Linked DNA regions of Drosophila melanogaster. The protein of the gene in region 3 interacts with the protein of the main gene of each other region in a pairwise test. Each region holds a gene or a part of one and is shown on either strand. Other genes may lie near its edges.

Region 1 (3,210 bases), on a different chromosome or scaffold from region 3:
ATCTGTATCTTGGTTTGCCCACATAAAACACCGGGTAGAGGTAGCACTTTGTCTAGAGCTCGAAAAGTTGCAGGCAAATCCAGATAGGCGATGGCCGAGAGCAGAAGTTGTCCATTAACTGAGTACTTTCCGCACGAAGTGCCGGTGTCGTAGTGCTCCTGGAATAGAAAGTAGAGAAAGGCCAGTTTCTGGCCACGACTGAAACGCCAAATTCTATGGAGTTCACGATTTCTGATCAAAGGTTGCACTCCCAGGCGCAGCAGACAATCCCGAATGGACCTAATATCGAATTGCAGTGCCGTTCCCAGCTCATCGGCCGCCTGCATCTGATCGAGCGATAGACCACGATACCAACTAGCCACGGGTAGTCCCAAATCAACACCTGTATTCTTTACCATGTTCCTAGCAAGTGGATAAATTCACAAGTAAAACGAAGAACAAACAATTTAAGAAACTTGGTAAATTTTGTGGGTGTTGCAAATAGCTTGAATGAGTGAATTTGGAAATAATACTCAGTGCAGACCTGTCTACACTGTGTTCATATACAATAAAATCATTAAACGAGCTGTTTTTTTTTATTCAAGCTACAAAACAATATTTTCTTTATGTTTAGGCCCACTGGTCTGCTTGGCAAACGAAAGATTTTTTTTCAAAACACTCATCATAGGACATCTCTTTAGCATAGATGTAAACGCATTGATTCTTTTTTTTTGTATCCTGATTACTCTTCCATTTGACAAAGAAGGGTTCTCGTCCGGTTAGGGTGGAGACGAATGTGCCGCCATTTTCAACCAGTTTGGATATATCTATCCAGTAGCTATTGTTGGGTGCTAACGCCAAGATGCCATCCAGCTCCATCTCATCCTGGATGTTCGCCAGATGACCGTTCATTTTACGACATGTGACATATGCCTCAAACCAAGTTTGCATTAGATTCTTCTCGATGTGAAAATGTCTGGAGCCAACTTTCTCGAATCGTCTCATCTTGATGTTGTTAGACGCTTTGATGTTGGATGCATGGTGTCGCATTATAATCTTTAACGGCTGAAGCTGGATTTCCATCTGGGCCTTAAACTCCAGCAAGCTACTTGCTATGCGCATTTCCATTGTATCAATAATTGCCAATGTTTCGTTTTGTTTAAGCGCGTTGTATGTAAACCAATAATTCTGGTTAATACCAATCTGATCGATTGTATTTTGCGGCGTTTGTGGACTTGGCAATGTAGCCTTTCCGTTCGGAATGTCCTGCTGCCCACCACTGAGATCCCAAAGGTTCCATAATGCCAACAGGTATAAGAGGTTAGATGCGTACATGTCCAGTTTGGAAGATTTCAAGCGTGTGAGATCCAATCTGGCTAAAGAACTTCCAATGAGCTCAACTAATTTTGTCACGCTTTTTAATGATAATGTAACCGTTTTAAAGCATCACTGTGAAAAGCAAAAAGGCTGGAAAAATTAAAAAAAATGAAAATCTACTATGGTGTATTGAAAAAAAAAAATATAAAATGCCTAAAGTTAATAGCTTTATTATTAAAGACACATTGCAATTTTGATGATTTAAAAAAAATACATATTAAAGTTTAAAGGAGTTCAATTTTTAAACCTTTATTATCAAAGTCACATTTAAAGTTTAAAATAGTTCTAAAAATCAATGCTCGATATTCAGGCCCATTGCTCGGCTTGGCAAGCAAAATAGTTATCATTGGCACAATTTTCAAAGTACATTTCATTGGAATTGATATACACGCAATGGTTATGTATATTTGTGGCCAGATTTGGCTTCCATTTCAGAAATGGTACATCCCTTCCGGATAGTGTAGAAATCCAGGACGCTCCATCGTTGGCACGGCTGTTGATATCTACCCAGTACTTTTTTTTGGTTTCCTCTGAGAATATTTCATTCAGCTCCTTCTCATCGAGGATATTCGCCAGGTGACCGCCCATTTGACGACACGTGTCGTATGCGCTATCCCAGGGCATCTTCTTTTGCTTTTCTAAGTAAAAGTGCCGGGAGCCAATCTTCTTGAATACGGACATTTTGATTTTGTTGGACATTTTAACGTTTTCCATGTAGGGTTCAATTTGTTGCTTTAGAGCCCGAAGTTTAGTTTCCATCTGGTTTTGAAAGGACTGCAATCGCATTTCTAAGCGTTGCTCCATATTACCAATTCTCCACAAAGTTCCATTTTGTCTTAGCGAATTGTAGGTAAACCAGTGCTGCTGGTGCATATCAATATTCTCGATTGTATAATACGGCATTGGTGCTTTTGGCAATTCATTTGTTCCTGTGGAAGTATCCTGCTTTTTGGCACTGACGCCCCAAAAGTTCCATAAAGCGAAAATGGAGAAAATGCAAGTTGCGTACTTGTACATTTCGAGGGCTAATAGTCTGTGAGATCAATTATTTAATTCCTCCTCGGACTAACCCTTTTTTTTACACTTCCCAACGAGATAATCACCCGGAACATTAACCTTTTCAAGCATTAAATACTCTGTTAAAAATTCGATAAAGATCCGAGAAATCTAGAGATATATTCTAGACTTCATTCAAGCCCATCTTCCCAGTTAAATACCATTACAAATGAACCAAAAAAAGTTAATGAAAAACGTATAAACTGCAAGAGAAGTTTATTGCTTAAGTGGATGCTTCGGAACATGGAGGATACCACTGCCAAACGCTCCAATCGACGCAGCTTCCAGTTTTCGGATCGAATCCAGTGTTCTGCTCGCAGGCAACTAGCTCGGCCTGTCCGGTGCTAGAGCACTGCCAGTAGTGGGTTGGATCCCAGAAGTCACGGGAAATCTCTCCGGAGCGTCCCACGCAATCGGGCTCACCATTGCCATCGGGATTGCAGTCAAGGTCGGCGTAGATGGCAACGCAGAGGGTCAGGAAGAGAAGGACTAAAGCTGAAACAGAATTCCGCTATTGGCATCTCAATGGTTTCAGCGATGTGAGGTCATCAATGAAACTCACCTGCTTTCATTGTGGTTTGTTCGAGTGATTAATACCGAATGCGATTGGAACGCAACGTTCGACATTTTATAGCCACCTGCTATCTATTCCCTGACATATTGTCTGAGACAATCGGAGCTATACATTCTATTTCTTAAAGAACATGAAATCGTTTAAAAATAATCTCATGATCACGATTGGTATCTGTATCTCGACAATTCGAACATTTGACGCCGTCGTACAATTCGTTTTCAAAC
Region 2 (4,874 bases), on a different chromosome or scaffold from region 3:
CCAGAGTCCTTTCCACTGCCAAGTGGTGTGCGTGTGCTTTTGTGTGCCTTGCCAATTGAATATGCAGTAATTGCCTTTCTTCATTTTTGGCCATGATTTTTTGCTCGTGTCTGACACAGAAACATGGCCAGTTAAGTGCAGAAATGAATATTTATAGTCGTTACTTCTAGGATCGGACTCCGTTTAAATGCAAAGTGAACGGTTTGATTCTGCAGCCCACTCTCAAGAAAAATTGAATAATAATCAAATTATGAATAATGATATTATAAAGATAGGTAAAGATATGTAGATATAATTAACTAACATAATTTAACATTGAACAAAAAGCTGCATATGCAGCTTAAAACCAGTGATCAATATGTACATACATTGGCACTCTTTTAAATCACAGAATAGTATTTGTGAGGTACAATATAAGACCTTAAAGCAAATCATGTTTAAGAGTAACCAAACTGTGCAAGTAGAGATATAGTAACCCTTTATTATGAAATATAGATATAATTATCCTCTGACCAGTAGCGAATCTCCTAAGCGTAGTAATGCATTATCCAAGTTATCGCAAATAGGATTTGGGATTTTCATAACATTGCCTTATTCTGAAGGGGTTCACATTCCACATCTCGACTCAGCTATCTCAGCTAATGAAAACGGAGTACGCAATCGCTTCTGGCCACACACACGCATTCCATCCAGGCCGGCTAGAACAACACCTGAAACTGAGACTAAGACTAGGACCGAGATCCCGGCCAGCGATGAGCAGTAACATGGCTCGTGCCCAAGAAAAACTGTCAATTAACCCGTGGGGTGAACTTGTGGAAAATGCCAGAGCTGCTGCATCCACTGCATGCCGCGCAATTTGCATTCGCATGGCCGGGGCAAATGGATTGGATTCCTGTGGCTTCAGCTCGAGTCTGCTTATCGCAATCGCCGCCTGCCAAATGCCAGGCGATAGCGCGTAGAACTCTTGGCGCTAATAAAGATCTCAGTAGTAAGCGGTGTGAGGTGGTGAGGGGTGACATTAGGCGGTGGTGCAGGGCAGCCCTCCTGGCCAAATCCGCTGCTTTGTGAACTCAAGCTGACAGAACGCTATTTCCAATTGTGCTATTAATCTGCCACATTTGCACTTCCGCGGAAAAGAGTCGGCGGGCGGATGTGATCTCTTTCGCTCGTCAGTTGGCTGACTCGCTCTGCAGGGGTGATTTGCGGGCGAGCGAGTGAGACAGAGCGAGGCAGAGTGGTAACGCTTGGCTAACCTGAAAATAGAAACAATCGAAATAAAAATACATTCTCTTCATGCTCTCGTCTAATAAAAAACCCCAAAAGCAAAACGTTTTCCATTTAAAATGTCGTCGCAACTGCCAGCGGGAAGTGGACGTCGAGAGTGGCAAGTGTGTGGGGCAAACTCCGGCCAGCGGCCAATGGCGGTTGGCCGAGGCCACGCCCCGTGGCTCAATTACCGACCAGTGCTGCCCATCGGCGGGCAGAGCGAAACCTGTTTCCACGAGCGAGAGGCAGTCAGGCGCATGTGCGATCAGAGCGGGATGGATGGCTCAAGGGTGGACCAACCAGAAGAGGCAGGTTGCTGGTATTATGGTAGGTTAGGTTCAAACAAGGTGGCAAACTGGCTCTTAACCGAAATAGGAAGGAAGTCGGCAGCGGCGTCGACGTCGGGCAACTGGTTTGACTTGTTTCCGGCTCACTCCAACAGCCCAAACCCACCAGCAATCGGCAGAGGCAGCCAAGTCGGCAGAGGGCAGGCAGAGCAGCGGCCGTCGGCACAATTTGATTGCATTTATGAAAAGCGTTTTCGCCCGCTAGCACGCGTCCGCTCCCAGCTCGCAATTCGCCATCCGTAATCCGTAAACTTTAATCCGTAGACCGTAATCCGTGAATCCAAAGCAGTTCTCAGTTGGAATTTCCCGCAACGGGTAGTGCTTAAGCGCGGAAACTGAATTGAAATCAATCGGACGATTAGTGTGTGCTTCGCGGTTGAAACACTCTACATCTAACTATTAAGAGAAAAGAGTGCCCAATAAGATTCGAAAAGTGCAGTGAGCGAGCTCCAAATTGGCGCCACTAATTGCCAAAATGTCCAGCCACGAGGAGGATGACCATGAGCACGAGAACGAGCACGGCGAAGAGGTGGAGGAACAGGAGATCCACGTGGATGTGGACTCGGACTCGCGGATGTCATGTGGCAGCGGATCCGATGTGGATATGGACGGCGGCAGCTGCTACGACGAGTCCGAAACGCCATTGAGGTGAGAAGGAGAGCTTTTAAATAGAACCAGGAAGTAGGAAAAATGTCCCAAAAATATAGATATTATCAGTATAGATATACCATAAATAAGCAGATCTTCCAATTACAATAAGACTTCTACATATACATACATATATTATTTTTTTAACTAGATTGTGATAAAATGCTTTGGCTTCCGTACTACTTACTTAAAACTGAAGAGGCCTTTTTTTTTAAAATTCATTTTGGTAAATATTTTTCAAATATGAATAACGTCTGAATTTATGTACGTTGCAAAATCGAACAATAAAAAATATTTTTGGTTTAATTGTATCGTAAATAATCTGCTACACTAAACTTGAAAAGAGATTGCATCTCTATTAATAATAATAATGGCTTTACTTTCAAATTATACGATGTACAAACATAATAATTGGTCTGAAACAATTCATTACGGAAAATCCCCAAAAAAAATATATTAAAGAAAAAGCTCAGTTTTTCGTTTACTCTTGATGGTTATGATCATCATGCAAATTAATAAATATTTTTTTGTAAGTACTGGGCTTGATTTAGTTGGCCACATTATTCGTTAATTACTCATAAGTCAAAATTTAGATCGACAGCAATTTGATCGACTAACTGAGAGAAAAAGATCTATAAGCTATAGTTATAATAGTTGGCATACAGTCTTATTTTATTGCCCTATAAAAGTCAAACAAGTATTGTGGCGGAGAAAAGCTATTTGCATTTGTTATTACGAGCTCATAACTCCCACTGTTTTACGATCTTTAACATTGTCACTCATAATGCTCACAAATCCTATTTTTCGAATCGTGGCTCAACGCCATTGAAATGCGTTGATGTTTAAGCCCCATTGTCCGCTCTTACAAATGGTCCCATTTTCCAGCGACAAAAGGGGATAACAAGATGCCAGAGCATCCAGCAGACCGTGTTAACTGATCCCATTCAAGCGTTTGTGCGCTTAGAAGAACAGTGTGAACAAACCTCTTAAACGCTAATGAATTGACCACAAAGCCACCAAAAGAATCAAGTCGAAATGTCCCATAAAGTGCCAAAGAAACTCCCTGAATTTACATAGTTCACGGATGGCCAGGGTTTCCAATAGACGACGACGATAAAACGCACATTAGTAAGGCGCCAAAAACGGGCTGTGATAAGACATTGGGGTCCATTTGGGGCTCAATCTGGAGTTGGATCTTCGGCTTGAATGCCGGACAAAGACGAAATCGTTTGTCGGATTAACATTTTAATAGAGATCGTCATAAAAATGCCATAAAACCCGCGTTCCAGCGAATGTAGATCACCAGATAGCAGCAAGTTTTGGCCAGTGAAATAATATGTGTTTGCTCATAACTTTTGATATTGGAAAGTGTCTGTGTGTCGGTGGTTGGCGATTTGAGATCATTGTTCCGATACAATTCCATTCCTGTTCCAAATGGGTTTTTACTTTTTGGATTTATAAATTAAATGCCGTGCGTGACTTGTTTTCGGTGCGTCAGTTGATGGCATTTGATGATTTATGGGCGCGTATTAAATGCCTCTAACGGCCGTCAGCATTTGCATAATTACTTCATTTCCAGCCGCATTGCGTATACGCAGCGGTGGCCACACGGGTTCTGCATGTCATGTCGTCAACTCGGCTTATCCGCTCGCGTGGGCTTTTGGTTAGTGGTTCCGAGACTGGTACGCACTGCAACAGACTTAATTATAGTCAATGTTCTCAGGCTTTCCCGCTTATCGGGCGACACATTTTAATGAGCCCGCACCTCCAGAGGGCTTCTTTCCCTTCGATTCTGATGTCTTTTCTCCGGTTTTTATTCCCAGCGAGTCCCTGCAGTCGGAGCAGACGCGCTCCTCGTCCAGTGAGAATCTGCCCTTCAGCATATCACGCCTGCTATCCAAGCCCTTCGAGACGAGTCACCACCACCACAACAACAACAACCACCTGCTCAGCAGCAGTCCGGGCTCCAGCAGCAACAACAACAACAGCGGCGAAAAGGGCGAGGAGAAGGAGCTACTGCAGCAGGAGGACCACGACCTGGCCTATAAGCTGGCCACCAGCATCGCCAACTCGACATACGGAAGCGCCGCAGCACTATACTCGTATCCGCATCTCTATCCCTCAGCGGCCGGCGGTCATGTGCTACGTGTACCGCCCCAGAGAACGCCGCTCACCTGGGCACTACCGCCACTGCATCACGCGGCGCTGGCACATCAGGCGGTCAAGGATCGGTTGGCAGGTGAGTGAATAGCAGCGAAGTCAAGAGGGTTTGCCAAATCCAACCCATTCGGGGCCCCCATGTCGGGATGGCCCATGTTCGCCGAGATCTTTCGGGGGAGCGATCCTCCAATGACCCGCGGTGGCAATTGCTACTGTTCCCCAAATAAGCACGATCAGAGAAGACTTTTAAGGCAACATGCCTATCGGCATGTCATTGTTGGCCAACACATTCGTGCACCAAGAGAAAATGTGGCATTTGAAATAAAAGAATTGGTAACATTAAGAATAAAAATGTTATATATGTGCCTACATAACGCGTAGTTGGATGCATTCAATTGTGCAATAGGGTGTAGGAACATAATTTTAAACTTCTTGATAAAACATATTTTTGTA
Region 3 (4,667 bases):
AGCTGCTCCCGAGCTGGAGGAATATTCCGCTGCCAAGAGGGAGCTCTGCTCCTCGATTTTTTCTGGATTCCACCTTCTGTCCATGTGACTGGATTCACTTATCGCCACTGGTCCTCCGCCTACAATTTAATGCACTGTTCGCATTTTATCAACTATTAGGGCGCCTAGCTGAATTGGGTTGATTTAATCGCCCACTCCTGTTATTGACATCTAATACTTTTTATGGTAATAACTGAATAACAAGAATTTTATCCAAATTGATAAAAACAGCGAATGGGATTGTTCAGCACAGCTGATAGTAAAAATGCCCGTGACTATCGATAAGTTTACCTACCATATATATAACTGAAATCGAAAATTTGAAATTCGAATTATTTAAATTCTTAAATTTTCCCAATCCTTTTTATAAATTTTTTTGAAATTGATTTTCTTATTATATAATCGTGCATAAACAGTAATTTTTGAAGATTTTTTTCAGAATAATTAAAACTCAATTTTACTTGTAGTGCTTAATAATTGTCTATGTATAAATTTATTTAAAATGTTGTATGTACAATGAATTCGGAAAAGGTACGCTCCTCGTAAAAGTCAAGTGTGTAGATAGTATTATAAACGTAATTGGAGGTCCAAGTAAATGATTAGGTGAATGTGTTGAAGGTCTGTGATTGTTCTTAGCCTATGTTAAAATTAAAACGGACTACATATAATTGCCGTCAGATTAAAATATAAAGGATGAGAAGCCAGCCCTTGAGAGGTTTAAATTGCAACAATGATGTCCGGGGCCAGCCCTAGAAATCCGCGTCCAGGGTGAACACGTTGTCCAGGGGGTTGCTGACCACTCCCATGCGCTGGTACTCCCCCACCTTCTTCTCAAAAAAGTTGGTCTTTCCATCCAGCGATATCATCTCCATGAAGTTAAAGGGGTTTTTGGTGTTGTAGATCTTTCCAACGCCCAACTCCACGAGCAAACGGTCCGCTACGAACTCAATGTACTGGGACATCAGGTCGCAATTCATGCCAATCAAATTGACGGGCAGGGCATCGGTAAGGAACTCCTGCTCAATGGCCACCGCGTCGCGGATGATCTCGATGATGCGCTCGCGCTTGGGTCGCTGCACCAGGTGTTGGAACATCAGCACGGCAAAGTCGCAGTGCAAGCCCTCGTCGCGAGAGATAAGCTCGTTGGAGAAGGTCAATCCAGGCATCAGACCTCGCTTCTTAAGCCAGAAAATGGAAGCGAAGCTGCCGCTGAAGAAGATGCCCTCCACGGCGGCAAAGGCGATGATGCGTTCCCCGAAGTTGGCCGATTTGGAGGAGATCCAGGACAGGGCCCAGTCTGCCTTGCGCTTCACAGCCGGCATCGTTTCGATAGCGTTAAACAGGTACTCTCGCTGGTGTGGATCACGGATGTAAGTGTCGATCAAAACACTGTACATCTCCGAGTGCACGTTCTCCATGGCGATCTGAAAGCCGTAGAAGCAACGTGCCTCCGTGATCTGCACCTCCTGACTGAAGCGCTCCACCAGGTTCTCGTTTACGATGCCGTCGGAGGCGGCGAAGAAGGCAAGCACGTGCGAGATGAAATGGCGCTCGTCGTCCTTCAGGCGGTGCCAATCAGTAAGGTCCTTGGACAAATCCACCTCCTCGACAGTCCAGAAAGAAGCCTCAGCCTGCACATTAAAAAAAAAAGTTACAATTTTAAAAGAGATAATTACTGTATAAATTTATTATTTTTCATTTTCCACTTTAACAAGTTTTCAAGAAATGTCATCGTGCACAACGAGCTTATCAATTAAAATGCAATTAAAATGTAAACAAAGTTACTACAAAGCAATTAAAAGCGGCGGGGAAATGTAATTGGCTACATAAAATGGTATAGTATGTGATCGTTATGTGCTGCATTTCCCGCCAAAAACGAAGGCTATTGTTGACATTGAGTAAACCGTGATGCAGTGAATCAGCGGAAAGGGAGGGTCGAGAAATGTGGGAGGGGGTTGTTTAACCAAACGAAGCTATCATAAAGTCTGATTCGTGTAATCAACCACGTTGAGTACGTGACCGGCTTTTGGCGCGCTTTATCTCGAAATGCCCGCCCTTTTGATATTTTGCCGCCCAAAAAATAGATTTTCACCACCAATGCAAATGGACAGTGTTTTGCTATATGTATGGTATACACACCTTCTTGTACATCTGCCAGATGTCGTGGTACTGGATGGGAAAGATGACGAAGCGTCGGGGATTCTCGCGCAGAAGGGGCTCCAGCGACGGGTCGAAGGGGGTTACGGACTTCTCCATGAGGGAATTGGCAGACTTGCCGATGCCATTCACGGTGGAGGACTCCTTGGCCAACTGTCCGTTTGCCTCGTGTCCAATGGACATCTTGCGAACGTTGTTGGTGCTATCCGTCAGAATCTTCTTGCTCGGGCTCTGTTAACAACGAAAAACAAAGAAGGCCAACTAAAGCATGAGTATTTTTCCGCTGCGTAGCACTTTTCCCTAGGGAAATCAACACAAGCGCACTGATCGCGGTATTACGTCTATGTATAGCTGTGAACTTTATTTGCGTGTCGATTACCTTAAGCGAGAACTTCTCCATGTTGTCAGCAATGTTTTCCTTGGACGCCATTTGAGATGTTTTTGAATGGATTATTATTAGCAGGTAGGGGCGCTTCTCTGATTCTCTGGTAAAATTCACTTAAACCACGACGTGTATTAAGTGTACAGTTTGAAAGTTGTGTGGCAAATGATCTGGGAAATACAGCTACATTGGGTTTTATGCCGGGCGGCAAACTGTTTCGATTTGCCGCCATTTTTGGTGATGGGAAAACTATGGGAAAATCAGGGCTGTCGAGTGCGTCAATTCACTTTTTATAAATTTAGGGTAAATCTAATGCAATTATGGGGTGGTAGTTTTCTTTTCTTAAACCATAAATCGAATCCTTACTGCACAATTTTATGTTTAGCTTCCCAGCTTGTCACTTGAAAAATATTAATATTAATAGTTTCAAATACTAAATAAATTTTGAAATTTTTTTATCATCGATATTTCATGCAATGAGACAACCCTAGACTAATCCAGAAAACAGCTGATGAAACGCCACTTAATTAGTTTTGAGTGAAAAAATTTGGTCCTCTTGCTACAATTAGATAAAAAATCAAGGTGAAACAAAGTTAAAATTTTTTTCCAAGGACATTGACTTAAAATTAATTTTTTTTTTGGAAATCTCGAATTATTTGGAAATGCAACAGGTGCTAACATACTCAATTCAACAACTTTGAATGAATTCCATTACAGCGAATCATGTAAATAACAGTACAATAACATAACAGCTGGCTGTTGATATTTATCGATAAGTACGTTTAATCGTGGACTTGAAAATAATAATAAACAAATCCGTTTAGTTGTAGTTTTGTTTTTAATATCCTGAATATGGAAGCCTCTTCTTCTGAACACCACAAACGTCTGGAATACTGCACTACAAGATTGAAATACCGTCAGGGCCGCGAATTGAAAGCTGTCAAGGTGGGGAAATAGTAATGTTTAGTAGTAATAGTTTAGTAATAGCTTTATAGTAATAGCAATGTTTTATTGTACTTTTATTGTGTTTTTTATCCTTTGTAGGTTTATACAGTTGCTAGTGAGTCCCGTCATTTGCTGATCTTTGGGGTACCTAAAATAAATCTTCAAGCTAATCTCAGGACGAAACTACAAGGATTTGGTAAAGTGCAATCATGTATTTCGGTAACTTCAGAGATGGCTTCAAAAAGTATGATTATCCCTGTTCAAGATCTTTTTTATATAGTGTTCCTTTTGTTTCAGTGGATCTGGAAGCTTTTACAGATGTGTTTGCCGTGAAGTTCGAGCGCCTTGAGGTGGCGAGAAGAGCCAAGAAAATGCTCGATGCTCATCAGTTCTATGGTGGAATCTTGCACATATCATACGCTCCAGAACGAGAATCCCTTGAGGAACTTAGGGAGAAGATTCAGCAGCGCAGGCACGAAGTAGCTTTTCGTATTCGAAGAAATCAGAAGGATCAAACACAAGTTCCAAAAAAGAGCCGGGAAACCACATGAGTACAGGATGTCAACGATTTATTCAACTTAACTGATTTCAATGAACTTCTAAGGCAGAACGATGTCACTCTTATTGACACAGCGTAGTGCTACTCGCTACCGCTCTATTGCCTCAGCTCCCCGTCCGTTCACTTGGCGAATCCCCAAGCCTCCTGTACTATTTCTGCTTCGTCCGGCGCAGGTCATGGTAGTAATTCAGTAGACCAATGCGCTTTGCCCATATCTGTGCCCCATACGTGGCCCAAAAGCTGTAAATTACCGTAGGATTAATAAGACAACCTGTGATGGTATAAACATACACGCCAAACTTACATGCCAAACATGGCGCCGCCCAAATGCGCTGCGTGATCGAAGAACTTCCAGCCCATCACGACGCCAGCAAAGTCGATGCCCATTAGCACTTTAATACCAGCTCCAGCGGAGAATGTCAACGCGGGTAGAAAGAGAATGCTAAGTTGTGTGTCCGGATACTGGGTGCATACATAGGCCAGCAGTGTCATTATAGCTCCAGACTAAGGGAAGAGCTTTAAGTTTATAGATACTACGTGGAATAAAGGCTGTCTTACCGCACCCAGGGACATCCCCGCCTGACT

What was found. The genes of interacting proteins can lie anywhere in the genome.
Region 1: the proteins of RnrS (region 3) and Acp29AB interact in a two-hybrid assay, tested with the Drosophila melanogaster proteins (one large-scale study listed by BioGRID).
Region 2: the proteins of RnrS (region 3) and C15 interact in a two-hybrid assay, tested with the Drosophila melanogaster proteins (one large-scale study listed by BioGRID).

The regions. Positions count from the first base shown.
Region 1 is NT_033779.5:8,391,898-8,395,107, forward strand, and holds Acp29AB (accessory gland protein 29AB), read right to left. Parts: upstream 1,326-3,210; 5' UTR 1,315-1,325; coding exon 610-1,314; 3' UTR 559-609; downstream 1-558. Other genes in the region: CG42820 (uncharacterized protein), read right to left, coding at 1-398; lectin-29Ca, read right to left, coding at 1,663-2,373; Peritrophin-15b, read right to left, coding at 2,636-2,907, 2,975-2,984. UniProt on the Drosophila melanogaster protein: Responsible for physiological and behavioral changes in mated female flies.
Region 2 is NT_033777.3:21,498,170-21,503,043, forward strand, and holds the start of C15 (C15), read left to right. Parts: upstream 1-1,816; 5' UTR 1,817-2,088; coding exon 2,089-2,261; intron 2,262-4,084; coding exon 4,085-4,500; intron 4,501-4,874.
Region 3 is NT_033778.4:11,982,641-11,987,307, forward strand, and holds RnrS (ribonucleoside diphosphate reductase small subunit), read right to left. Parts: upstream 2,754-4,667; 5' UTR 2,627-2,753; coding exon 2,576-2,626; intron 2,428-2,575; coding exon 2,179-2,427; intron 1,671-2,178; coding exon 789-1,670; 3' UTR 505-788; downstream 1-504. Other genes in the region: GalT1 (beta1,3-galactosyltransferase 1), read right to left, coding at 1-84; CG34231 (uncharacterized protein), read left to right, coding at 3,431-3,523, 3,623-3,767, 3,821-4,074; rho-7 (rhomboid-7), read right to left, coding at 4,232-4,322, 4,387-4,586, 4,641-4,667. UniProt on the Drosophila melanogaster protein: Provides the precursors necessary for DNA synthesis. Catalyzes the biosynthesis of deoxyribonucleotides from the corresponding ribonucleotides.